7 linked regions of the Oryzias latipes genome follow. The protein of the gene in region 1 interacts with the protein of each later gene in a biochemical or structural test. Links are inferred from orthologs where the notes say so. Each region holds a gene or a part of one and is shown in the gene's direction. Other genes may lie near its edges. The genes, in order: prkn, mfn2, rnf41, ccne1, mfn1, ube2j1 and eif4b.

Region 1 (3,500 bases):
GCAATCCTGTTTCATGTTTGGAAATCACATTTCGTGCACTACTATCTATTCCTCAGTGTGTTCTGCCACAAACACCCGCAAAGCACACTCATCAAAGGCAAACACACTAGATGGATTCTTGCAAGCGGTATTTTACTGAAACTATTCGTTAAAAAAAAATCAAGTGAAACTTGTTTTTGGACACGTTGTCAAGTTTGCACATGATTTTATGTGTGGAAACCTGTATGAAGTCGGGGGTTGAATCATGCCAGCTGACATAAACATGAAAATGAACATTAAATTGAAAAAATAACTTTATCTTTAACTTTAACTGTAAATTTGAATGTCATTACTTTGCTCTGACACTTCAAACTGCAGTTTGGCCCACCTAAGCACAAACTCACTCTCACGTATGGTTTTCTTTTGTCTTTTAGGGGCGTGGTCCTGGTCTTCCAGTGCTCAGAGCGCCATGTGATATGTCTGGACTGTTTCCGTCTGTACTGTCAGAGCCGCCTGAACGAGCGACAGTTTGTTCACCACGCTGCGATTGGATACTCTCTGCCGTGTGCAGGTGAGAAGCGGGGGGTCAGTGTGGTGACCGTTTGCATGTCAGAGTTACACCTACAGGGTCGTCATTCGCATTCACAGCTTTGCTGCTGCTACAAGATGTCCATGTGGACTTCCTCTGTGCCTGCAACTGTTTCCAAAGCCCACCAGCACCTTTCTGTGCTTCTAAGCTGAGTAACCATTTCCAGAAATGCCCACAGTGTGAAGTTAATAAAGTGAAGTACATGAAGACAATCCTAAAAAACAACAACAACACAGCTAAAGAGTTGCTCGTGTCCTTCTCCAGAGGTTCCGTCAAAAGTGAACAGATTTACTAAATCTTGGTGTAGTATTCCGTAAACAATCCCTCTCACCGAAGCATCAATAACTCAGCACAAAAGACCACCAACTGCGTTTTCCTTTTTTTTTAGGAGGTGTCTAAGATTTGGAGCTGTGGTACAGTCACCACCATGCTGAAAGATTCACCTCCTTCACCACATCACCTGTTTTGACTGTTATTATTGGGTGGTGGAGGACAATAAAGACCAAAACAAACAGGAACAGACCACACCCCAAAGCAAAGAAGAAATGAACATATGCCTCCTTGGGTGTACTTTTTTGTACTAAAAATGCACATTCCATTTGTACACACAATATTGTTCACGATTCTGTTTACTTTTATTGGTAACATTTCTGCTATTGTTCACAATTTAACCTTGGAGGTGAAGAGGTCAGGTGGAGAAGCCTCTTCCTTGGCAAACCTTGGCTTGATAACTTTGGTGCTACGGAAATAGCCAACAAATATAGGAACCAGCCTATGGTTCCTCAGGCAAAGGGTCAAATCAGAACCTTCTGGTCCCCGCCTGGTACTGAGGAAAAAACTGTTTATGGTCATTGGCTCAGATTCAATGGCTCTCCAGAGTAACGAGAGCCTGTTGAGCCCTTCATGGTGGTTCAAACTCACAAACATGGACCCTGATAACAGAGGATAGGGGGGCTGGTCTTGCGTTTCTGGTTAACCTTTCAGATTTGCCCACTGGGCTGTGGATGGAAACCAAATAAAAGGCTAACTGTGATCCTAGACAGCTGACAGAACTCTGACCAAAATAAGCAGGCTTGTAATCTGAAGACTTGATGAAGGAGTCTCAGTTCCCTTACTTGACAACCTGGGTTGTTGTTGTTCACTTTTCAGCACATCCCTTCAGGGGTTGCAACAGTTTATCAGCTTTGACTGATTCAAACATGTGGTTTGGGAGAGATTTTTATGCCGGATGCCCTTCCCGACACAACCCTGTATTTTATCCAGGCTGGGGACCGACACAGGGAGACCCAGACTGTAACTTGTCTGTAACTTGTGTTGTAAAAGTTTGTGGACTCCCGAAAAACAGCAACAACTCAGGACTTGAGAGTATCATTTAAAATGGAACTTGAAGAGTTTACAGAAGTAAACATGTCAGGGCATTGGTACCTGTTCTATGAAATGACAGTAGTATACTCATGACTGGGAAAATCCCAATACCAGGAAAATGCCTGTACTTTTTCAGCTTTGTTTCAACTGTCTCTACCAATTTGCATATAGCTGAGCTATAATCAAAGATGGATGACAACAGAGTTCTTAATAAAACGTAATTTCAATTAGAAAGTTTCTCAACATCTGGGATTTACTTTCTACAAGACAAAATTTCCAACAAACTGCTAGGAAATGACACAAACAGTAATAAAATGTTATTTTTTTTCTATTCTCACCAAAAGCCTTGGTTAGTTTCATCTGCAAAAATTGGAGTGAAACATGAATGAGGTAAGGGCTTTTCCTGCTGGAGGTGCATCTAGAGGTCTGAGGCACCTCACTCCAGTTGGTGGTCAGTAGACATGAAGGATCATGAACTTTAGAAATCCAAAGAAGATTTCAGCCTATAACCAGTTGTCTGTGATCCTAAGTCTGGGGAAAAAAACAGGTCAGAATCAAAAACAACAGTCTGATGACCCAAATCAAAAATGTAAAATGTGGGCAAATTAGTCCTGGACATTGATGAAGAACATGAGTCACTAGCTGGAATAGACTGTGAGCGGCATGGATGTAGGCAGGTACTCACCTGAACCAGACAAAACACCTTTTGTCAACATTTAAACAAGAGTGAGAGCACAAGCGTGAATCCGATCTGTATGTGTGTAAAGACGCTGCGTTTGTGTCTACAGCGGGCTGTGAGGACTCGCTGATCAAAGAGCTGCACCATTTCAGAGTTCTGGGTGACGACCAGGTAAGTGCACCTCAGATTCTCTGCCACAGCATCAGGAACACATGCTGAGCACAAGGGCTCTGACACCCACGTTGAAGACAAGCCGCTGGAGTTCAGAGGCTCTGATGATGACGGAAGAGGGATGAGCCGCTATTGAAACTGTGTAGGTGACCTCATGGGCACCCAGCAGGTCCAGGACTCTTCATCACCACCATTCTGAGCTTTGATGCAGCACCCACCAGCTCGGCCTGCTGACACACGGACGTTAGGGGATGATGCTGCTCCAAAGTGATGTGCACTCGGAGTTTCAGCAGGTCCTCATGCTGCCCTGTGATTGGCTGACAAAGAGCTTTCATCAAAAAGCAGCTGCTGCGGCCATGTGCAAATAAGCCAATGTTTTTTAGACGGACCTTTTTTTCATAGAATTAAATCACAAAATAAACTATCACACAATAAAAGAAGAAACAAACTCTTTTTGTAAAAATATACCTGCTATAAAAATAAATATTCACTCTACAATGTGATGTAGGTAAATCTCACTTGTAACACAAAGGAAGAGACTCAATCCTTCCCACCTGTGCACAGGTAACTTGCGGTCTCAGTCCTCTTTCTCTATCTGTATCTTACAGTATGCACGGTACCAGCAATATGCCACTGAGGAGTGCCTACTGAAAATGGGAGGACTCATGTGTCCGGCACCTGGTTGTGGGGCGGGGCTCCTGCCCTCTGACCCCTGCA
Region 2 (3,233 bases), on another chromosome or scaffold:
AAGTGGTTTGTGGCCTGAAAAAGGCTGGAGACTAACTGCACTAAGGAACAACAGCAGATAAAGCAGCAAAGATCTGCAGCAGGACTTCAGCTCATCTTGTTCCACAGTGTGGTGTGCACTGGTCCACACTGGTACATAACCCAGGACACCACCCTCCTAAAGAGGTCTCTACTCTTTCCTCAGAGGGTCTGAAGCCTCTGCTGCCTTCCACGCTCAGAGACCAGGTGGAAAAGATGGTTCCTCGGCAGTGTTTCAGCCTCACCTACGACCTGGCCTGTGACAAACTCTGCAGTGACTTCCAGGAGGACATCAGCTTCCACTTCTCTCTGGGCTGGACCATGCTGGTGAACCGTTTCTTGGGCCCTAAGAACACACGGCGGGCCCTCATGGGCTACAGCGACCAGGTACTTGCATCTGGATCAAAGTCTTCTTTGACGCTGCAGGATTCTGTCTCTCAGTGAAGTCAGATGGTCACTCTGGACTGGTGGCTTGCTAACCCGACCAGCCTGTTTGATAACCTGAAGAAGGTTGTCTGGAATCAGTTGATCCAAGTAATGATGCAGCACTGCTGGAGACTAGCGACACTGCAGACCAGGCGGACCAGTTGAAGTTCTCCACCTGCAGGGACTCGAATCCCAAAGCCAAAGAGAGGGCCGATTCAGATCCTCAACCCAGCCCCTGTTCAAAACCAATAATCTCAAAGAAAAAGAAAATTACATCCATGAGCTAATGGCTTGTAGCTAAACAGTTTAGGATGCAGCCCCTTCACTGCTGCAGAAGTAGATCCTAACAGATCTTCTCAGTGCTGCAGAAGTAGACCCTGACAGATCTTTTCCCTACTGCAGATGTAGATCCTGACAGATCTTCTTTCGTGTTGCTTCTGCAGTTCTCCAACATTGACAGCTGCTGCTTTTGTCTGCTGTCCTGCAGAATTCCTTCATCTCCTCACTTACAGATGAGCTCATCTGGATGTTTGCATCGGTTGGTTGGTTTGTCTGAATGGTTTGAAAATGACCTGCAGGTTGATTCTCTGCTCAGGTTCTGCTTACTCCTGTCCATAAACAGGCTCATGTCTCTTCTGACCAAATGACATGGCTCTATACCTCCTTTGAGGGTTCTTTGGTTTGTATTTTTTGCTGTAAATAGAAGGACCGTAACCTCTCTAAACAAACTGCTTTCCTGTTTCATATTCTGATAGCTCAGACTCTCGAGCTGTAGATCACAACCAAAGCAGATGTGTGACCCGACTCTATGCCGCCCCTTCTAGGTTCCTCGGCCCATGGCTCTGACTCCAGTCAGCAGCAGCATGCCGCCGTTTCCACAGAGTGCCATGACTCAGGAAGAGCTAATGGTTTCTATGGTAACCGGGCTGGCTTCACTGACATCTCGTACCTCAATGGGCGTCCTCGTGGTTGGTGGTGTGGTGAGTGTCCCGACCCAAATGCAGGAGGCCGGCTTGTGAACCCAGTGTGATAAAAAAACCAGCTGAAACATGACAGAAAACAAAGCAGAGGATCTGACGATGACGAGCTGAACTCACTCACACACCAACTCTGTATCTTCCTGTATGCAGATCTGGAAGGCAGTGGGCTGGCGGCTGATCGCTCTGTCACTCGGTCTGTACGGCCTGCTGTACGTCTATGAGCGGCTGACCTGGACCACCAAAGCCAAAGAGAGGGCCTTCAAGAGGCAGTTCGTAGACTACGCCAGTGAGAAGCTGCAGCTGATTGTCAGCTACACCGGTTCCAACTGCAGCCACCAAGTCCAGCAGTGAGTCTCAAGCGGGTCGGGGGGTCTCTGCGGCTGACATGAGCTAACCGTGTCTCCTCTTGTGGTCGGCAGGGAGCTGGCGGGCGTATTTGCACAGCTCTGCCAACAGGTGGACATCACCCGCCAGAACCTGGAAGATGAGATCCAAGACATGAACAGCAAGATTGAACTGCTGGACAACCTTCAGAGCAGGGCCAAGCTGCTGCGGTGAGAACCCAAGGCCCGCGTGCAGATTAATGCAGATTATTGGTTAATGTGAACAACAGACGAGTTTTTGAACAGTTCTACTTTCCCAGACATCAGTGTAGGAAACTGGTGATGGGGGGTCTCCCACGGTTTATTCTGACTGCAGACCCCATAAGGTGTTAAGATCCTCTGGGTAGAATCCAAATCTGAATCCTTTGTCGTCATTGTACATATTCATGCAATGAAAGTGTAGCAGCCTTGGAGGCCGTGCTGTAGGTTTTTGTTTGTTTGTCAAATGGTGAACCTGAGGTGAACAAAGACTTTGGGGTTGATGAAGTGTCCTTCTGAAGAGCAGATGTCAGAGGACAGGGGGTCAAAGGGAGAAAATACATCAGTGCTTTTGAGAAACTCACAGAACAAAAGACTGGCATCAGCATAGACATTAATGGATTCAATCTGGTTTCCAATATTCTGACGGCTAAAACATGTCACTGATAAAGAACTACAGGAAAATATGAAGCATAAAAAAGCCCAAACTTCCTTCAGTGATGGTAAAAAGGTTGAGGGTTAAAGCTGTTTGCCATCAGACAGCGCTGTGACTGCTGCTCTGTTTTTGTGCTTTTGCAGGAACAAGGCCGGCTGGTTGGACAGCGAGCTGAACATGTTCACTCAGCAGTACCTGCAGCACAGCAAGTGATGCACCTGACCCGCCTGTGGAGGGGGGCAGAGCTTATTCTGCCCCATCCAGCTTCTGACTTTTGCTCTAATGTAATGCCTCTGATTGGTCGTCTCGATTTCAAAAATAAAGAACCACGATGGGAAAGGTGTATCTGTGCTGGTGTTCCGCCTCACACAAACCATCCTCCTCTGCCGCTGATGTCCTCTAAGGCTCTCAGGTAAAGCCTTAGTCACATGCTAAGGCGTGTGAGAGTGGACCCGTACGGGAGCTGTGGGTTTTTGGGGTGTCTGGGCCTGTGGGGGGGTCATAGAGAGGGGCAGCTGCACCTTAAGGGGAGCGCAGGTGTGTCTTGCAGTTCTCTTCAGGCTCGTACGGCCACCTAGGGACGACATGAAAACGGAACGTACCATTGTTGTGTGTTAAGTGTATTGTGAGGTGTTTGTAAGAATAGTGTGCCTCTATGCCACACTAGTCGTTAGCAAGCTCAATTAGCACCCGCACAGGGTGTGCACGTCATACACAAGTGTATAGGATGCCCACGCTAACTGTACTCTAAGTTGTTTTCTCAGCAATCAAGTAGGAGACCACGCTAATCACA
Region 3 (4,277 bases), on another chromosome or scaffold:
TCTACTGGTATGGAATAGCAGATGCCTCAAATGTACAAAAAAATTTAGTATTGCATACTTCACTTAGAACAAATGGTGAGATAATACAATGTATACATAAAAAAATGACAATTTCAAGCAGCCTTTAATGTGTTTTTTATTTTTTAACTCTTGTTCTGAGATGTAGGTACTCCCAGTTGCTGCTAACAACTGATTGACCTACTTTGGGTTGGCCTATGGAATAGGGCAACTACAGAGTGGTGTTTTACAAAACTAAATCCCAGTATTTGTTGAAGATAATTTCTTTTTCCATTTCCAAATTGAAGGCTAAGATTATTACTTTATAACAATAAATGTCAGAGATGGGCTAAAAAAGTCAATGTCCCAAGAAGACAGCCTAAGGACACCTTTTCTTCTCATTTGCACTATTTTTTTTTTTTTTTTTTTTTACAGATTTGCAGTTGATGTTTGCAGGGCAATAAGACCAGCAGTTGTCTTGGCAAACAGCTAATCACAATTAAGAAAAATATGAGATTCTGCAACCAGAGATAATTCTCCACAGGATTTAACCTGTAAAGATGGCCAAACCGCCGCTCACTGTAGATGGATGTTACTTTCTGAATTTGGAAGTGGGAAGAGTCGAATACCTTGCTGACAATTCTGCCTTCAAGTCAATCAAAGTGTTAAATTTAGGGAACAATTTTGGGTGTGATTTTTATTTTTTTATGCAGGAGTGACTAATGCAGCAACAATGTTGGACTTGCAACAAACGCTGGATGAAAAATGGGACGCCATTACACAGGAGTGTGTAACCAAACTGGGGACCGGTGGCGACTGAGGCTGTTGTAGCTGACTACTGAGGTTCCTGTTTATTAAATTAATTGTTTTCTGTCTTTTGACATTTCAATCATTCAAATCACCAGCAGCAGAATTTAGAAAAATGTTCATGGTCTGGAACCCACACTCTGTATTTACAATGGCTCACATGTTCCTTTCTGCTGTTTCCTTTGGGTAAAGAATCATGAAAAGTTTTGTTAAAGTTTACTATGTATGCAGGGCATAATGTTATTAACATGATAAAAAAAATATGTCAGAAAATGTTCCATTACTTCATGAAAAAGGCAGATGAACAAAGAAAGTACAGTAACTGACATTTCCAAGATAGAAAAAAGTTTAAAAACAAAAAGAAATATCTTCAATTATTTCTATCAAATTAAACTACACAAAACAAAATAAAAATAATATACTGTAAAAACTAAAATATTTCCTGGGAAAAAAGTTTTTATTGTGTGTCAAAATCCTTAGAATGTAATCGCTTTCTGGTTTTCTAAAAACATGCCTAAATACATCTGGGTGGTCATTTTAAAGTATAACTGTTTCTCTATATGGTTAAATAAAGGTTAAATTAACACATAAAAAACGTAATCGGTCCTCGACAGCACGAAGACTATGGAATAGACCAATTTACAAACAAGAATAGGGGACAGCGGCAAAAATCTATTCCGTTTTTCAATCTCATTTCGAACACATCTTTCATAACATATATAACAGGCTAAAGGAAAAGTGATCATTAAACCCCATTGGAATATTATCAACTGTTTGATTTGAAGAACAGAATGACATAGACCTTCAGAACCTGTGGTAGAGTCCTCCTCTTCCTGCCAACGTTCAAGTGTAGGATGTAGCAAGACGTGGCTAGCACATTGCTAGCGAAGGTACAACGTTTTTAAACATTTGTAAACCTGACAAGGACCTGTTTTGCTTCATGCCTAAGTAAGTATAGTAGTGAATTTTATTTTTCTCATAGTGTTTTTTATTAAAGTCGCTTTCATAAATATTTGTGCTATCTGAGATCCGTCGGGTTAGCTTGAGTGCTAACATTCATGAAAACCACTGTTTTGGTAGATGCTAACCCTATACCTATATTTGACATAAGTCAGTTCCTAATAACCCGTGACATGTGTTAATTTTTCTTTCTGAAGAAACACTAAATTTGTTATTTACTTTTATGTGTTTGTGTAAAATAGTTTAACATTATATATTAGTAAACTGTCAAAGGGAAAAGAGCTCCACGTAGCTAACACTAGCTTTAGCGGTACGCTAACTTTTGCTAAAGCTATCGTTTAATGATGCTAAAATCGAATTGTCAGGTGAATCTAACTCGAACCGAATTGGTGTCAGTATCCTATTTGGAAAGTACTCAGATATTGAAATCCAATCCTCAGATTTTAACCCAGTATAAATGTGGATGCCGATGAGATGCGGCTGAAAAATAACACAACTTCGGCTCAAGGGCACCGCTTTTTTATGCTGCGCATCAGCAGAACTGTTATCACGTAGGCTATTTTTTTTTGTCTCGAATAGTTTGTCTTTTCATATATGGTTAAATAAAGCTCTTAAACCCCTTATATTATCTGTTCTTGACACAGTAATTCTGGGAAAGAGTTGATTTTCTGGGGGTTCTTTTAAATCACAGCTATTTAAATATGTCAGCAAACATGGGAATTTATTTCAATGCTTTTTGTCCCAAAAAGCTAAATTAAACAAATAACAAACAACTTTACATCAAGTTTTTGATTAACATTGGTCTTTATTTATTTATTTGCCAGATTTTAGCATTAACGAGCAAATAGCTGTATAGGTATAGGTATAGTTTTACTTTCTTTAAAAAAAAAATATATATAGAGAGAGAGAGAGATAGATATATATATAGAGAGAGATATTTAAGAGGTACTAAGCATTTTTTTAACTAAAGTAACTCATGCAGAGAAATAATGTTTTCACCCTTTTCTCCTTTTTGCAAGTTTGGTAATTTTATTGTATGAATGGCATGGAAAAATATGAACACAATGCTTTTTAAGTAGTCCAAAACCACAAAGCTTCTTGTTGAAGATTTTTTTTCCCATGAAACTGTTGTGCTTTTCATTTTAGTAGCTCAGATGACTAACCTCAACAAGGGTGATGGACACATTTTTGCACAGATTTGGGCTCAAACAGTTTAATTACTTGCTGTTGTAATTTTCTTCAGCTTGCTGACTGATGTTTTCAGACTTCTTGTTCTTAGTTAAATCCCTGTGAGACCTTGACTAAAGCAGTTTTATGCGGTCACATGAAGTAGATGTTTTTTTTGTTGTACAAAATAAATCCATTTGTTTATGTTTTTAAACAATTGTGTAAAGGGTAAAATCTCAGTATGCCCTACTTTTATACATCCATTTCAGCACTTATTTTATGTAAATGAAGATATTACTAAATGATTTGAAAGTCTAAAGTCATTGAAATTACATATAATTAATCATTCCCATTTAAATGCTGAAATTTAAAGTGTAAAATTGTATTAATTGACATGTATTAATACAATTGTGTTGTTTCCTTCTTTGTGCATCACAACCGTTTGAAGTACTGACATTTTACTGTTTGTTTGTGTGCTACCTGTTGTTGATGCTCAGGAGGTTGTGGGTAGTGTACCATGGGGTACGATGTTACGAGGTTCCAGGGTGAGGTGGATGAAGACCTCCTCTGTCCTATTTGCAGTGGAGTGTTGGAAGAACCAGTGCAGGCAAGTTTACTTTTACAAGGAATTGGATATACAGTGATCCCTTGCTATAACGCGGTTTGCTTTTCACGGTTTCGCTACTTCACGGATTTGCATGGTGCATTGTGTTCTGCATTCTGATTGGCTAAAAAGTCACTCCGCTTCTTCTCTACCTGTGCGTCAATAACGTTGCAGTTTAATATGTGCACGTACGTAAATCAGCTTGCCAAATTTTCATTACTACGTGCAAATTCTCTTGATGGTGGCAAGTCGGTGTATAAGGATCTTTTTGCAAAGCAGAAAAAAGAGCGACAACAACTGCCTATCACTATGTTCTTCTCCCGAACAAACACAGCTGCACCGCGGGCTTCAAAAGAAGAAAACACTGCAGAGCTGAGTCAGGATGCAGCGGCTCAGTCTGAAGAGCAGTGAAATACACCTGAGTCACTATTTGTCCCACTGTACTTTGTATTTTTTTCATAATCATTTTAAATTTTCTCCCGTTTAATCCAATACTCGGGTCGCGGTGGGCGGGGCTAATCTCCGCGATTTGAAGCCTTCTGTTCACATTCATTAAAATTATTATTTGACAGTACAGTACAGAGTTATTTGTTGAAAAAAAGGTTTCTAAAGTACTTTTATTTGTGAAACAAATGCTTGAGCCTGTAAATTGGTTTGTTCTTTCTTTTCAATGTATAATAGAGTATTTAATTGTATAATAATAGTTTAAAAAAAATAAAGGTTTCTACTTCACGGATTTTGC
Region 4 (4,030 bases), on another chromosome or scaffold:
AACGGGAGACTTTACCTGGCAACGCTTTGACGTGAATCATTCCGATAACCACTGACTTCAAGCGTCCGAAAAGCTCCAGGAACTTCATGTTTGGGTTTGGCTGAAACTCCAACTGCAGGAACTAAAGTTCAGCTTCCACCGAGGGACCGGATCACGTGACGGAGCAAAGGTCAGGGGCAGAGGTCAGCGGCACGCCGCGTCCACCACGTCTGTTAGGATCCTTCAGCCAACGGGAGACGCAAAAAAAAGAAAGAAAAACAACAAAACGTCTCTGCAGAAAGAAAAAAGTTACTAAAGCATGAAGTCACTTTAACTTTGTCACATTTGACAAACACAAGCATTCATAGACACAAACACACTCTCTCACGCACACACACAGATACATCCAGACAGATATTTTTATATCTCAAACTCATGGAATCAGGATTTAGGAAACTATTTATTAAATTATGGAAAAAAAACATCTTCTTTTTACAGTCTTTTCAGACTCATTTTCCAAATGAGTGGATTAAAATATGAATCCATTTCTTTGCAGCATTAAAAGTAAAAAATGGGAAAAAACCTTTATTTTTAACCGCCTTAAGTTTTCAGTAGATTACATGTCGCTTGTTTCCCGAAGATCTTCTGCTTCCTGGAACAAAATCTTTAAGTGTTACAATGATCAAAACAGTAACTTAATCAATATTTGTTTACCCAAGTAAAGGTAATCAGTAAGGGGCAGTAAAGTTACTCTTAAAAGCTCAATTTAACCAAAAATGTGTAAGGTAAATGTAACGTGTTACTTCCTCTCTCGGCGTGTCTCTGTGACGCAGAGTAAAGGAGGGAAAAAAGAGACACTTATGTGGCTTAATAGGCGGGAAAATCTAAAAAATCTGCAAAAATCATCAAAAATATTCATATTTTCGCTGGTTTCCAGTCTTCTTGGCGGTTTTTCCCGGGAGACCGCGGCTTTGTTTACATCTGACAGGCTGGCCACGCGGAGCCGGCACACTTCCGGCCCGGTGGCCACGCCCCCGCAGCTGTCAGCGCCGCGGCCACGCCCCTCCCACAGCTGCAAAAGCGGGATTTTTCTTTCCCGGCGGCGGAGCAGCAGCTGAAGGCGCCAGCAGCCGTCAGAGCCACTCAGAGTCCCGCGCGCGTCCGTCAGGAGGTCCATGGAGGAGAAGGTCGCCAGTCTCCGAGCTTTGGCGCCAGTTTGAAGCGGCTCCGCCCGGAGGGACGCTCGGGTTTTAGGCGCCAGCTCCAGGGAAACCCGCCCGGCCTGCACAGGCTCTGTGAGCGGGCAGCTCCGCCTCTGACTCCCGGGGACTCGGAGCGAACTTCAAGGAGTCTCTTGGGGTAACTTTTCGCTTTTCATCGGGGTGTTACGCGCTGAAAGGGAACTGTGTATTCGGTGTCTCGGTAAGTCCCGCTCTGCGTGGCCGCTGGCAGGTAAAGTTCCCGCGGAGCGGCTGGAGTGATTGTGAGGGCTCCGGGGGGCTCGCGGTCCTCTGGGGGGAGGGCACGCGCCGCTTCTTGTTCTCGCGGGCTCGTGCGCCCTCAGAGCCCGCTTCTTCCCCGCCACTTCTGCGCCGGGCTTTGTCAGGAGGAGGCGCCGCTCGGGTGGGGGTTGGGTGTTTTCTGGAAGCCCGGAGCTAACGCTGGCATCCCCGCAGGTTTGCTCGGAGTGTGGGCCAGCGCGTCCGAGGACCATGCGAGGACAGCGGTGAGTTGCTGTGTTTTTTACCCCGCTTCCAGCGCTTAATATGTCGGGGGGAATGAGCCGCTCTGACGGCGCCGTCCGTCGGCGCAGCCCGGTTAGCCGTCCGGCTAACTAACCCCCGTGGCCTCCTCCTCCTCGGGGGCTAAACTCTGGGAGCCCGCGCGGAGGTTCTGGACGCTTCTGGACCACAAAGACACGTCTGTTTTTTCTCCACAGGGAGCAGAAGGAGCCCACGAGTGTCGCCCCCACGGAGAGGTCAGAGAGGAGCAGAAAGAGGAAGGCAGATGTGGCCATTGTACGTGAGCGGACCAGCTGGTCTGAACTGGTCCATCAGACTGGTTCTGCTCTCTTTATGGTCCGGCAGAACCTTCAGCTATGGAAGCCCAAACATGACAAAACTCACAAACCATATTTAAGGCCACAAAAATGGATCCATTTAGCCAGAAATTCTTTCCAAGACGTGATTTAAAATTATTTAAACTTATATTGATTTTTATTTCCAGGAGGAGGTTGAGGTTCTACAAACACCCCCACAAAACGGTTAAACAGATTTGCGTTTTAGTTTTCTTCGCATCCAAACTTGACACCATTTTTTTCCCATAGTTTCCATTGACTATAAAAACGGCTTTGGATGCTAAATTTGTCTCATGTAAACACGATAAAACTTTCATTCATCATTAAAAATAACGGTTTCTGCGCTTGGAGGAGGGGAGTTTTTGAGACGTGTCTAAATTAACATATTTGTCAAAACTGCTTTTTGTATTAAATGAGCCACGTGACCAACGACCGGATGGCGAGGTGCTTCTTGGTAGGAGCTGGCGGACTTGTTGCACGGCGGGCGCCACACAGCTCGTCAAAAGTTGAGCATCTCGTTGGATCCAACAATTCCACATTTCCCAAAATCTGTTTCCTCCGTAGCCCCTCCCACATGTGAGGAGCTCGCCACTCCACGGCCTGAAAAAGAGGCCGCCGTCTCCCTTTGTTCACGCCCGTTGGCGTGTTTTTGAATGACGTGTCGCGTCAGTCGCTTTGTGTACAATTGTGATTTAATGGAAACGGTGTAATTGCAAAAATGTTTATTCTGCAAACTTCTAGAATTTACATAAAGTTTGGCGCATGATTCAAAATAAAAGAACTGATAAAAAGGTTTGTTTGGTTTTTAAAAAAAAAGGACTTTATTAATTTATCTGAACGTTTGTCTCATTTTAAGATCGTGGAGACGAAACGAATAAACATGAGAACAAAAGCTACAAAAATAAAACTAGAAAGCTGTAAAAATCGTAAACACTCCAAATATGAGACGTGTTGGTCGTGAAATTTACTAAGACAACCTGATTTGTGCCAAAAAAAAGAAATTAAATAAATATGTTGATTCCTATTTAATCATTTCATATTTTTTTAAATATCTTTCTGTAATTGATAATTGATGAATGGAAAACAGAAGATAATCTGGAATCAAAGTTGTTTGAGCTTTTATTTTGATAGTTTCATCTTCCACTGTAGACATGAAGTGTGTCTTTCATCTGTGATGAAGATTTTGTGTTTTTGTGTCTCAAAGCTGCTCAGAAGTCGCCGTCAGTCGTTGTGTTTGCGTCTCAGTTCCTACAGGATCCTGACGAAGACGAGGCAGAGATGACGAAGAAGAGGCAGCATCTGGACTGTGAGGTGAGGCTCGTTCGACACCAAATGTGGCTCCAGGACGCCGTTTGACGCCGTTTCTGTACGGATGTTTCAGATCCAAGTCTGATCTGCCGGAAAGCTGAAAATCTCTGGTTGACGACCAGGAAACGGCGTCCCGTTTGCCTCTGAACTGCTGTTCTGAGCCTCTCTTCTGTGTCAAGGTGGACTGGAGCCCCGACTCGGACCGGACCAGCCCCCATCGGTGGACGCCGGAGCGCCGCCAACAGATGAGTGCCGGTTTCCTGCACCTCAACTTCCACAACATATTCGTGACCCCGGTCCACTGCGCCCCCCTGCCGGCGCTGTGGTGAGTGTAAACCCCGCCTCCCCGGGCTCGGCGCCACGGAGAGCCGCCGCTAACGGTCGCTCTGGCTTCTCCAGCTGGGCCAGCAAGGACGTGGTGTGGAGCAACATGCTGGCCAAGGACAAGAGCTACTGCAGGGACGTCCGCATGCTGGACAAGCACCCCCACCTGCAGCCCAGGATGAGGGCCATCCTGCTGGACTGGCTCATGGAGGTGGGTGCATCCGGAGGCGGTCGGACGCTCCCGCCGTTACCCCCTTCTCTGAAAAACTGAACGGCCGTGGGAGTGACGGTAAACCTGCTCTGCCGCATTTCTGCTGCAGGTTTTGCTGTGCGGCGTCTGAA
Region 5 (4,034 bases), on another chromosome or scaffold:
TTTTGGTCAACAGGCAAGTGAACAGCAATGTTACAAAAAACGAATTAAACCAAAATATGAGTTAATTTAAAAAATCTCATTAATTTACAAAAAAAATTAAATTATATCAGTGCAAGTACAACTTTTGTAATTGTTCTTTTACAAGATTCATGTAGAATAAAAGCATCTGCTGGTGGTGTCTAAATTACGTATAATTCACCTTGTTGGTTTTTTTTTCTAGCTAATTTTGAAAATATTGGTGAAAATTCAAACGTTCAAGGCACCTTTTTGTGAGCCACCCTGAGATCCAAAGGTGAAATCTGTTTGTGTTCTTGACATTATTTGGATTGTAGCTTTTTATTTTAATGCTTTTAATCATCAATGGTATAGCCAACGATCTACATTTTTCTGCTCTACAGATGATGACGACTGGCTACCATGTTAACAGGCTGCAATAACACATGTTTGAAACACGCAATTGTCATACAATTCACAACAATAACATTTCACCTATATCACAATATTTGACATCAAGGTTTGCGTTACACAAAGGTTTTGTAAATGTTAACATTAGGATACATATGGTAAACATCCAACCATGCACCAAAGATGTCAGTCTTTTTGTATTTGTAATCAGTTCAGTCATTTAGTTTTACGAGTTTTTTTTCTAATGTATTAGTCCGTATGATTTCCTTCCAAGGTGCAGTGTAAAAATAATAGTTTGAAAAGGATTTATTATGTTATGAAACGGAAAAGCATGAGACCATGGTAGTTATTCGTTTATTATGCTATATGGAATACAAAATCTTAATGATAATGGTTATTTATTTATACTAATTTATTTGACTTACAATCAGTAAATGAACAAATGCTGACAACTTTAACAGCAGAGGTCTCTTTAAAGGAGTTATGCATTTTTCTGGGCGCCTATTGGCTCTGTTTGCATTCCGATCCTTAACTCCGCCCACCGGACTTTTGCTTGAAAAAGCCTTCATCTGCAGAGAAGGGAAACGGAAACACTGATACATACAGTTTCAAAATAAAGAAACATGATCACACAGATTTCAAATTTACTTTCAAGTAAGTCGGCATTGTGAAATATACTAATTATACATAAAAAATAAATATATAAAAAATTACCAAGGGATACTCGTAAACTTCCCGAACAATCAGCAGTCATATATTTTTGTGACAATGTCACACTGAGAAAGTTTTTATTTTGAAGGTCTGTACCGGAAGTTGTCTTTAAGTTCGTAATAAATTGCCGTCTATGCCTTTGCTGGGTACAAACAGAAGGTTAGCCAGGTTCAAAGCAGGACTTTTTTTTATAGTGATGGAAGTTTTCTGTACTGCCTACATGGATTTGTAGTGTTTATGTAATGAGAAGACAATATCAACTGTTTTAGGACTGTGGTAAGGAAAATAAAACAAAATTCACTTTTTGCTAATGCTAACTATGTGTTTGCGCTAGTTTGCTAGCTTAATTTGTTATACACTCACGGTTTGGGGACTTACCATATTTTGGTTTTGTGTGTTCAGTGTTATAACTAATGTTAAAAAAAAGGAAAAGTACACTTCCTTTGAGTGACCGATTTCTGTCATCTGCATGTGATACTGCAGGTCGTCCTTGTGTGTCACGCGTAAATTATGCTGTTTTTCTTTGGTAACTGCACATGTGTGTTTGACTTGTCAGGCGGGTCAGCTTTCCCACGTGTGTCCGCAATATTTTACTCATGCTACAGCTGTAAACAGGCTCAGTCTAAATAGCATTTCTGCTGATTTGGACTTTACCTACATCGAGTCCCTCTGTCTCTCCACAGTTTGGCACCATGTCTGCAGCCCCCCAACTCCGGCGGACAGACTCATCCCGGGGGGAGTTCTCCCCTCTAAAGCACTTTGTTGTGGCCAAGAAAAAGATTAGCGATGTGTTTGAACAACTGCTCAACTATGTGAAAGAGACCTCAGAGTTTGTGGAAGGTGGTCGTTTTCCTGAATGTCACTATTTAATGATATGTGAAAATGAACGCCATGTTTACCTGTTTATGTTATTCTTTTTTTTTTTTTCTGTGCTGACAGACATCAGTGGGAATACAGCTTTGGAGAACGTTGCCACCCCGGATCAAAAGTCTGAGATCCAGGCCTATGCGGACAAACTTGCAGTCATTAAGGAGGTGCTTGCTCGGAGGCACATGAAGGTAGCATTTTTTGGCAGGTGAGTTCATGTTCCACAGAATTGTTGACTTCTATACATTACCTGAGATTTTTGGGGGATGTGTCGTAAGTATCGTACTTTAACAAGCAAGGACATGTTATTTTTACAGCATTTTCACACAAAAATCATAAACAATTCAAATATCGCAATAAAAAAAACCATTAAATAAAACCTGCTTTTAAGGTAAAAAATAATAATAGATTTAAGTTTAAGGGCTTGAGATGACACTCCAGCACAAAAAATTAGTTTACTTGTGTGTTCTTTGCTTTTAGAACTAGCAATGGGAAAAGCACAGTGATCAATGCGATGCTGAGGGACCGCGTGCTGCCCAGTGGAATTGGCCACACTACCAACTGCTTTTTGAGTGTGGAGGGCACAGATGATGACAGGTCTTATCTGAAAACAGAGGGTTCTGATGAGGAGAAGAGTATTAAGGTACATTTTGGTACTTTGGTTTTTACATTTCCTGCTTTTAAACTGTTTTGATCTAAATTGAAGAGAACGTTGGCATTTTGTGTAATTTTCTTGAAACCTTTTAGTCATCAATCTAATTTAACTCACAATTCCTCCACAGACTGTAAACCAGATGGCCCATGCGCTCCATATGGATGAGAGTCTGGACGCAGGCTGTCTGGTCCGTGTGTTCTGGCCAAAAACCAAGTGTGCGCTACTTCGAGATGACCTGGTTCTAGTAGACAGGTGACAGGATCAGTCATTTGGTTTTAAAGTGTTCTGCATTATATTTTGCAATTCCCAAACGTGTTAATAATTTTTTTTTACAAATGTCAAATTGAATGTATATATTTTCTGCCTCTTCCTGTCACTCGTTCTTTAGTCCTGGGACAGATGTAACGACACAACTGGACAGCTGGATTGACAAGTTTTGCCTTGATGCTGACGTCTTCGTGCTGGTGGCCAACTCAGAGTCCACTCTCATGAACACGGTAATGACTGTCACCCACACAAGTTTATGTTTAGTCAACATCCTAAAGGATTTACAGAATATGTGGGGATCTGGGTTAACCATTGTAGTCCATTTGCTTTAGGGGTTAAGGAAACATTCAAGGTTAGAGAATTCCTTCAGCCAGAAACAGGCTAGCTGGATGACTTCTGAACTAATAAATGATGGAAAATTGTGCCTCCCCCCCTGAAATGTTGGTTTGTTGTTAAGTTTTGATCTTGTGACATTTTCACTGTTTTAAAGTGAGAATAACTACAAAACTTTGGTTTCAAAAGTTTCCTCAACTCTCAGCCAGTTTTGTAATACTTAGAGAAAACAAACCTTCATATTTCATTTCAATTTGTCAATTCAGACAAAGTAATTATATAGAACACTCTTTTTTTTATTGAATTAACAGTTAAAAAAAAGCTGTTTCTGATTTTAAAATATGATTAGATAAATGCTTTTTTTATTCCTGTATGGAGGTTAACACATACATTTTACATTATGAAAGAAATAGAAAACAATAAACAGCTCTGTTTCATATCATTGTGTTTCTGCAGGATTATCTGAACATTTAAATAGCTGAGGCTTATTTTACCCATTGTGATGATCAGCATATACAGACAAGACTATAAATATTTGGACAGAGACTCATTCTTTCTAATTTTGTTTCTGTACTTTATCACAGTGAATTTGTCCCATGAAATGAAGGGATTGTGTTTAAAAAATACGTTTTTCACATTTTTATGCAATCTTTTTGTTCAACCCATGGAATAAAAGCTGAAAGTCTGCACTTCAATGGCATCTGAGTTTTTTTTTTTATTTAAAATTCACTGTGGTAATGTACAGAAACTAAATTAGAAAGAATGTGTCTGTGTCCAAATATTTATGGTTATGACT
Region 6 (3,500 bases), on another chromosome or scaffold:
GGACCTGCAGGCGGCGAGGAGCTGTCGGCACTCCCCCAGCAGGACACGTCCTCACCCGCTGGCCAGGAAGCGGCTGAGACGCCGCAGGCTGAACAGGTGGGTGTCCGGCTGCTGCCGAGGCCGCTCACGGCTGCAGCCTTTATTTTGGAGGACGTAAGAGGTAGAGTTGCCAAAGGCAATTATGTCGTCTGCTTGTCAGCTTTAGTTCCTGACTTTAATCAACCAGTCAGACATCAGCTCCGCCTCCAGCAGCAGATGCAATTTAGAGGTTTGAAGTGAGTTTTTTTTCCCTCATCAGCAGCTCCTCCAGCATGTGTGAGCTGCGTTGCCTAAGAGGATTGATTTTGGTGCCAGATGCTGTTCACACAGAGACTGAAGCAGCAGAGACGAGGGTCAACTTAGATTACTGCTTCTGCGCTTGGATCAACTGAAAAGGCCAGAATGGGAGCAACCATCTGCTGCTGCAGACTGGGTGGCCCACTTTTTACCCACAGAGCTCCTCACCGGTTTTTCCATTAGTTTAGAAATATTAAATATTTGCAACCAACCTTCCACAAAGTGAAACCTCATAGGCCTATGCAAATGTCATCATCCACTGAACAGAGTATCAGCAGGTGACTCAGAGAAATTGAAGACGTCTCTGTGCATCAGGGACAAAGACTATTATTGGATGCCCATCATCAGCAAGGCTGATTCAGTGACATTACTGCAGGGGAGCTGTGGAATTAACACTAAAATGTGCAGAATATCCATCTCCAAATAATTCCTTCAATTGGTCTTAACTTTTTAGTTTCATAATTTAATCATCTTCAGTCTGACGATAGAAGAGCTGATGTTCCAGGACATCTTTACGTCATAGTTTAACTCTCACCACCTAGCTAAAGTGATAATCCTGCCCCTGTTAGCCCTCCAAGTCTCAATGCATTGCCTAAAGCTACATTCACAGCGAATGCGATTTGTGTCAGTGGCGTCCAGTTTTAATGTTATGTCACCTTACAGACGTGATCAGAGGTCCTACAGCGCAATTTGAGCGCTACGCACAGGAATCTGGCCAGCAGGTTTTGCGCGGTGAAACAACACGACACAGCGGCTAATACATTGTTTCACGTTTCGAGTTCAAATTTCGAAACTTTGTCAAAGAATTCCCATCGCATTCATTCCAACCAGGACTCCGCTTTGGCCTGTGTCATGTTCAGTGGGTGGAGTCCAAAACCAACATGGAGGAGAGTCTGATTCTTCTTCTCCTTAACTTTATGATATTTTTCTAATTTGCATCCTCTAATTTTATTCTTATTAGTCTTTTTCGCTCCTGGGTCTAAAGCGGGACAGCAATTCATCAAACTGGGTCACAGAGAGACAATAGAGCTGCTAAAAACGCCGTCATTCAGGCATAGTAGTAGAGGATGACCTCGCCGTACCGGGACAGTCTCTGATCTCTCACCTGCATCCGTTTCCATGTAGGAAAGAGGCTAAAAGTTCTAGGCGGTAGCTCCTCCCACACAGTGTTCATACACCAGCAGGTGTATGAACACATTTTTGGACTGTAAATATTAATCGTATCAATATTTCTCTATGCTATTTGCTCTGCCTGAAAACTCTATTTCAATTAAGCTGCAATACAGTCCAGAAACAAGACTTTTAATAGAATAAATTTTTTTTTACAATAATCAAATTAAATTAAATAAAAGACTAAAAGGCTACTAAAACTCGATCGGGGAAGTTTTACAAGTCTTTAGCTTTTGGGCCTTTTTGTAAACTAGAAGTTATACATTCTAGCAACAAAATAAGTGTAATAACTAGTGTCCAATAGGGGGCAGTAGTTAGTGCAGCGGAAAACAGCGGAAAAAACATCAAAGACTGTTAGTTATGGAAACTGTTTGTGTCTGTTTGTAATTTCTTCTGGATTAAGAAAAGATTTTAGCTAACGTTTCCTGTGCAGAAGAATCGCTAAACATCATGATGTAATTGTTACTCCAGATCATCTCCAACATGATTGGTGGACGTCAGTCACTGCATTCTGTTTGTCCTGTTTTCAGGCAGAGGGACCAGAGGAACCAGAGGAACCCCAGCCCCCTGCCCCTGTGGACTCCATCGATTCTGTCCGGCAGCGCCGCTCCCCGCAGCAGCCCGGCTCGAGAGACAGCATTCAGGTGGCGGCCAGCAGGGTGGCGTCCGTCCCGGCGCCCCGCCAGCCTCTGGACCAAAGCCACGCCGGCTCTGCCGTCCTCATCCTGGTGCTCACACTGGCTCTGGCGGCCCTCATCTTCCGCAGGATCTACCTTGCCAACGAGTACAACTTCAACTACGAGTTGTGACCACGACCCCATCCTCCTCAATTCAGACTCAGAGGTCAGCTGGAGTGGAAGCAGAGCTGAGGCAGCAGCTGACTTTCTGCCCTCGCTGCTCAGCCAACAGGAAACCTCCTCCGGGGGGGGGGGCACTGCACATCACAGCACCTCCTTTTAATCAGTGTGAATTTGAACCCCCCTCCTTAGAACAGGAGGCTTGTTGTTTAGGATTCAGCTCAGCGTCTCCCACTTGTAACTGCGGTGCACCCCGCGGCTGCTTTCGTTCCCATTATTTAATTACAATTGTAATATGTCAGAACATGGAATTATGGGAAATTTCCTCAGACACAGCCAGAGAATCCTCCGAAGGCCACGAGTTAAGCTCCTGTCCAGTTTTAATGGGGCCAACAAACGGCAGAAGCGTTTTCCATCCGTCACCTGGAGTGAACGTGCTGCATTAGTTTTAGTTTCTTTAAGGTGGGGGGGCTCTTTCAGAATAAATGCATTCGTTTTAAATGGTGTGAAGCTTTTAAATCAGCGGGGCGGCTCTTTAATGGAGCGAGCAGCAGCTCTTCCTCACTGCCTGAGCACCGCCTGCCTCTGTGATCGTGTTGGCGTGGAGGGGTGTCCCTGCAGGGGGGGGGGTTCACGCTGCAAACCAGCCAGCAGCAGAGAACTCCCAGATTGTAATTTCTGGACCATTTAATCCGTCATACTTTCAATCTTTAGTGGTGGTTCATCAGCAGCAGCAGTTCTCACTCTTCATTTTTGTTTAAAGGCACCCCGTTGTTCTTTACCCCTTCATAGCGCCCCCCAAAGGCTGACAGGGAGGGTTCAGCTTTCACATTTTCTACATCAGAGTTCCAGGTTGACATGAACGCAGCTCTGAGGTTCCACTTGTGCGGCCTTTGATGCTTCATGCCTGATGGTCGTCTCTGCAACCTGCTGCTGAGCTGCACAGCCTTCAGTCACATTTAGGAAACAGGAAGAAGATAAGGGGCTTTGCTCGTCACTCAGCAGCCGCTCCCATGTTCATCTGCTTTGTCAGACGAAGAACCCTAAAGACAAACGTTTAGTCAAACCCGCCAGGTCAAGACTAAACACAGTAAATCCTTCTTTTCAGACTTTCTTGGAATTCATAATTGGGTCTTATTGTTTAATAAAGTTATTTAAAGTTTTAAATGTGTCTGTTTTCTGTCTATATTTAGCAAC
Region 7 (4,005 bases), on another chromosome or scaffold:
AGAATAGCAATTGGTTTTTGTCTCTTGGGTCACATTTCATATAACATTATAAATAATAACATTGTTAAAACACAAAAAATATAAATAAAATGCTTAAGTTTCCACTTTGTGGCCTCTACAAGAAGCTTCAGGTCTGTGTTTTGAATTTTATAAGAATTGTCACTTGTTTTAAAGGTTGTTCACTCTCAATCCTATCAGCTTTCATAAATGGTGGCTTGTTAAAAATAAGCAAAAAGGTTATAAGGTAAATATGAGGACAAAATGCAGCCTTCCCCTTTGATGGGATGTCTTGTGTAAATGAGTTTTATGCATTGATGCCTTTAGTGGGAGTGGATGGCAACCTGAGAAAACGCCCTCTGAAAAAGCGGTTATTTGTTTGCTTTATTTACAGCTGCTGCAGTTATGAAGAACTGAGTAAAAAGGTTTACTGGTCTTGATACTTTTGACCAATCAGAGTACTTTTTTAAGATATGCGCAGCACAATATTTAAGTGATTAAGAGGTAAGATTTTACTTTTATTTTGTTTTGTACGTGTGTGTGTTGCATATTTATTAAATAGCCTACAAGCCGTGTGTAAACTTTGCACATATGTCTGAAACAGATTTCTACTTGCAAATATTTTTTAAAAAGCTGTAGACAAAACAAAGAAAAACAAAAAACAGTAAAAATAATATACAAGTGTAAATTTATGTATTAAAAAAGGTAGTTCAATTGTATAATTTTAGAGATTTGGACCACTGTGCATGGGTCCACAACGCCAACATTGGTTACCATTACAATATATTTTTTTTCACACTAAGTTCCCTAAACCAGTACAAGGCAGCTTAGTTTAAACAGCACCTTTTATACAGGTGATGTGTGCAAACAGAAAAAGCTTTGGCAGTATCAAGCAAATAAACAAATTAAAAAAACGTATTTACGTATTTTAAGAACAATTTTCAACATGATACTAAATTTAAAGAAAAGCGTTTATTGATTTTTTTATTTAAAGAAAACAATAATAAAGTCATGCATATCATTTTTTGATTCCCCACCATAACGGCTGTTTTATGTTTTATTTTTCAACTATAAAAATTTAAATGTAAATATAGACCAGAGTAAATATTCAAAAATACATATTTTTGGATTTCTTTTTACAAAATTGTGTGTGGGTGGGTGGGTGTTAGGCCCATGTAATGTCCAAGCAGGAAACTAGGGAGGAGGCCGAGGCGCGCAAACGGCGATGCGCGCTCCCGACAATAAACAACTGACGCTTTCATCCGGGAACTTTATGGAACTCGCTCTCCAACATGGCGGCGTCAGGTGAGGTTTATGTGGGTGAGCGCCGTGGGTCGGTTATTAGAAACGTGTACAGCGAGTTACTTCAAAACAAATTTTCAGTAAACGTCTTAAAAATGACACGCTGTAGCCTGATCGGCTAACGTTCTTGTCTCCGGCCTGAACGCTTGTTTGGTGGCTGTTTAGCCCGCCGAAGACGCAGATGGCTGGGGTTAAGCTAATGACGGAGCAACTGGCTGTTATCGCAACGTTTTCGTGGATAAATCGGAAAGGAGGCTCTGGGGTTTGTTGCTATGCGACCTGTTTGTTTTCGCTCCATATAACATGGACTGATCAGGGGGACATAGGTTGCGGGTCGTTCCCGCAGAGCTGGCACACTGCATGTCAGTTGCAGAGCTACTCAGCTAGCCGTGGCGCTCGCGCTCAGGACACCGGGCGCAAGCGCGAGTTCTGAAGGAGGGGTTGGGCTGAGGCGTCCAGGCCGCCTGAAGTAGAGGCTCCCCACGTGTGCGGCGCCGTTCCCTTCTTAGCTGGCTGTGGTGAAGCTGGGCCTGCTGGGTCGCATCCGAAGCGCCGAGCTGTCTGCGTCAGAACTGGAGTCGTGGTTGGTTCTTTCAGCCGGACAAGTCCGACGCAGTTGATGGCGCACTTGGATCCCAGCGCTGCTACGTGCGCCACTAGGCCCTAAAACCTAGCCGGCTAAGCAGGGATACTTCCCCGTCAGCACTCTTCTGCTGACTAAGCCCGCATAGACACAAAAGACAAAAGCGATCAGCCCAAACAGAAACCTCCCGACACGTGCTCATATACTACTCCCGCTAAGTTTTGCCCCTTTAGTGCAGCTTTTTGGTAAATTACCTAGTGATGCAAGCACGTGACGTTCACTATACCGAGGCTTTTCCTATAGAAATAGAAGATCAGTCTGGTTTTCTGTACACCTGACAGCCGGGATTTTCACAGAAAAGCACAACCAGCTCTGTCTCTACGCCTTTTCTGCCTCAAACCAAAAACATCCAACCTGCTCTGGTTGGATCATGAATGAAGCCTCGTGAGAAACTGGGGGCTTTGTGAGGAATGTTACACTACTGTCTGACCTTCAACTCTTCATATTTGATTGCTTTGGCATTGATTAAATGTCATGAAACCAGCTTTTGCCCCCTGTATTTTTTTGTGGCTTGCTGTTCTGATGGATTTATTTTAAATGGCTTCCTCAAGAGATGTCTACTGTAGTGAAGGGTGTGTTCAGCATTTCAGGCCCACGTGAGCTAATAGGAGTCAAGCGCCTTCTGATAAGTGGCTGGCTGCCCTTAGTTTGCCTCATCTGCCCTTTGCAGCAAATGTGCAGTCAAACCTACTGAAGGTGATTTTGTTGTAAGAAAATCCTGTTGGCTGCAGGTGAAGATTCTGGGAAAATGGACGTGTCCTTCGGACTGCCTTCCACTGTTGCGTTGTGATCGTGTGCAACAAACTTTGCATGTCGAGTTGGTTTAAAGCTCTCATCGTTTTGACTTAAAGGTGCATCGTGTTGGTGTAATTTGGCAGTTGGGCCTGCAGGCCACTCCCTGAACATTTCTCCAATGGGGAAATAAGTGTAATATTTATCATGTACACATGGTGCCCCCCCCCCCCCTTATCTAACTCTGCTCCACATCTTTTTGCACAGAGGAAAAAACCTGCATGCTTCAGGACAGACAGAACAGCAGTTTTACGAACAATAATGTCGTTCTAATAACGCCTCTGTTTGGGCAACACAAATATTATCTGCCGGTACGCTCAGCACCAGGCTGTGAAATTTGACTAACTTGAGGATGACGTCTCCTAACTTGATGTGTGGTGTCCGTCTATCTTCTAGCTAAGAAGAAGAACAAGAAGGGGAAGACCTTCAGTCTCACTGACTTCCTGGCAGAGGACTCTGGAGGCAACCCCGCCGCGCCTCCCAGCTACCCAAGCAAGTCCACGAGTTGGGCAGATGATACTGACGACCTGGATGGAGACGGTGAGCAGAAAAAAACGAATGGTGTGTAGTTCAGTGTTTTTTATTCTCTTAATGGAGGAAAAGTTTGAGCTGGGGATGTAGTTGGACTCTTCTGAAACTGCCTCAATACTACGGAGTGCTGAAGGAAACGAGCATCAGCAGGCTGGTAAAGGCAGCGGGATGCAGGCGACGTTCAGCTGCAGAAAGCTCACATCCAGCAAAGGATGGAGTTCTGCTTAAGCTTTCATAAAACTGCTCTAAAATGTGGACTTGATCACACTTAATTCCTTTGTTTGCTTTTAAATAGTGATGTGAGGCCAAACCTGTGAAGAGTTTGTACTCTGAAAATTAAAAAAACAACATTTCCAAAGTACGGTTTTGTGTATTCTTTAAAAAATCAAAATCCTATATTGCGAAGGCCAAGAGGAAAGTTCATGTTGTAAAAATGTCAAGGAAAAGATTGCTGTACTTAAAAAGCAGCTGTTTGTGTGGTTTTTTTGTGTTTTTTTTTCTTTTTTCTTCCAGGGCTTTTTGCTGTGAATCCTAAACCCAAAAGTTTTTATTTTTTGTTGTTGCTGTATGTGTTGACCCTTTTAACACCTGGGGGGTATTCCAGAAAGCACGTTTAAACTACCCCGACTTTAACCCTGAACTCTGGCTGAAATCCACCTGAACTTGCTTACTCTGGGTATGTCGGTTCCAAAAGACCGGATATGAGTTGGCGTAATTACGCTGGACTTGGTAACCCTGGG

Evidence for each region.
Region 2: of the proteins of prkn (region 1) and mfn2, one has a biochemical effect on the other in vitro, tested with the Homo sapiens proteins (2 studies listed by BioGRID). The link is inferred for Oryzias latipes from reciprocal best matches to the Homo sapiens genes PRKN and MFN2.
Region 3: the proteins of prkn (region 1) and rnf41 form a complex in vitro, tested with the Homo sapiens proteins (2 studies listed by BioGRID, with this or other methods). The link is inferred for Oryzias latipes from reciprocal best matches to the Homo sapiens genes PRKN and RNF41.
Region 4: of the proteins of prkn (region 1) and ccne1, one has a biochemical effect on the other in vitro, tested with the Homo sapiens proteins (2 studies listed by BioGRID). The link is inferred for Oryzias latipes from reciprocal best matches to the Homo sapiens genes PRKN and CCNE1.
Region 5: of the proteins of prkn (region 1) and mfn1, one has a biochemical effect on the other in vitro, tested with the Homo sapiens proteins (3 studies listed by BioGRID). The link is inferred for Oryzias latipes from reciprocal best matches to the Homo sapiens genes PRKN and MFN1.
Region 6: the proteins of prkn (region 1) and ube2j1 form a complex in vitro, tested with the Homo sapiens proteins (4 studies listed by BioGRID). The link is inferred for Oryzias latipes from reciprocal best matches to the Homo sapiens genes PRKN and UBE2J1.
Region 7: of the proteins of prkn (region 1) and eif4b, one has a biochemical effect on the other in vitro, tested with the Homo sapiens proteins (2 studies listed by BioGRID). The link is inferred for Oryzias latipes from reciprocal best matches to the Homo sapiens genes PRKN and EIF4B.

What each region holds. Positions count from the first base shown.
Region 1 is NC_019873.2:12,968,318-12,971,817, forward strand, and holds part of prkn (E3 ubiquitin-protein ligase parkin), read left to right. Parts: intron 1-413; coding exon 414-550; intron 551-2,721; coding exon 2,722-2,783; intron 2,784-3,391; coding exon 3,392-3,500. UniProt on the Homo sapiens protein: Functions within a multiprotein E3 ubiquitin ligase complex, catalyzing the covalent attachment of ubiquitin moieties onto substrate proteins. Substrates include SYT11 and VDAC1.
Region 2 is NC_019865.2:32,497,029-32,500,261, forward strand, and holds the end of mfn2 (mitofusin-2), read left to right. Parts: intron 1-183; coding exon 184-404; intron 405-1,267; coding exon 1,268-1,423; intron 1,424-1,573; coding exon 1,574-1,770; intron 1,771-1,842; coding exon 1,843-1,977; intron 1,978-2,583; coding exon 2,584-2,653; 3' UTR 2,654-2,733; downstream 2,734-3,233. UniProt on the Homo sapiens protein: Mitochondrial outer membrane GTPase that mediates mitochondrial clustering and fusion. Mitochondria are highly dynamic organelles, and their morphology is determined by the equilibrium between mitochondrial fusion and fission events.
Region 3 is NC_019865.2:22,245,519-22,249,795, reverse strand, and holds the start of rnf41 (E3 ubiquitin-protein ligase NRDP1), read left to right. Parts: upstream 1-1,477; 5' UTR 1,478-1,752; intron 1,753-3,428; 5' UTR 3,429-3,448; coding exon 3,449-3,538; intron 3,539-4,277. UniProt on the Homo sapiens protein: Acts as E3 ubiquitin-protein ligase and regulates the degradation of target proteins. Polyubiquitinates MYD88. Negatively regulates MYD88-dependent production of pro-inflammatory cytokines.
Region 4 is NC_019861.2:36,308,424-36,312,453, reverse strand, and holds the start of ccne1 (G1/S-specific cyclin-E1), read left to right. Parts: upstream 1-1,230; 5' UTR 1,231-1,338; intron 1,339-1,655; 5' UTR 1,656-1,691; coding exon 1,692-1,705; intron 1,706-1,918; coding exon 1,919-1,997; intron 1,998-3,301; coding exon 3,302-3,367; intron 3,368-3,543; coding exon 3,544-3,689; intron 3,690-3,763; coding exon 3,764-3,899; intron 3,900-4,030. Other genes in the region: uncharacterized protein F13E9.13, mitochondrial, read right to left, coding at 16-88. UniProt on the Homo sapiens protein: Essential for the control of the cell cycle at the G1/S (start) transition.
Region 5 is NC_019862.2:9,083,667-9,087,700, reverse strand, and holds the start of mfn1 (mitofusin-1), read left to right. Parts: upstream 1-1,234; 5' UTR 1,235-1,392; intron 1,393-1,799; 5' UTR 1,800-1,808; coding exon 1,809-1,956; intron 1,957-2,055; coding exon 2,056-2,191; intron 2,192-2,463; coding exon 2,464-2,626; intron 2,627-2,765; coding exon 2,766-2,890; intron 2,891-3,026; coding exon 3,027-3,135; intron 3,136-4,034. UniProt on the Homo sapiens protein: Mitochondrial outer membrane GTPase that mediates mitochondrial clustering and fusion. Membrane clustering requires GTPase activity. It may involve a major rearrangement of the coiled coil domains.
Region 6 is NC_019882.2:20,275,698-20,279,197, forward strand, and holds the end of ube2j1 (ubiquitin-conjugating enzyme E2 J1), read left to right. Parts: coding exon 1-96; intron 97-2,036; coding exon 2,037-2,315; 3' UTR 2,316-3,470; downstream 3,471-3,500. UniProt on the Homo sapiens protein: Catalyzes the covalent attachment of ubiquitin to other proteins. Functions in the selective degradation of misfolded membrane proteins from the endoplasmic reticulum (ERAD) and is essential for cells to recover from ER stress.
Region 7 is NC_019863.2:29,761,177-29,765,181, reverse strand, and holds the start of eif4b (eukaryotic translation initiation factor 4B), read left to right. Parts: upstream 1-1,205; 5' UTR 1,206-1,289; coding exon 1,290-1,302; intron 1,303-3,130; coding exon 3,131-3,295; intron 3,296-4,005. UniProt on the Homo sapiens protein: Required for the binding of mRNA to ribosomes. Functions in close association with EIF4-F and EIF4-A. Binds near the 5'-terminal cap of mRNA in presence of EIF-4F and ATP.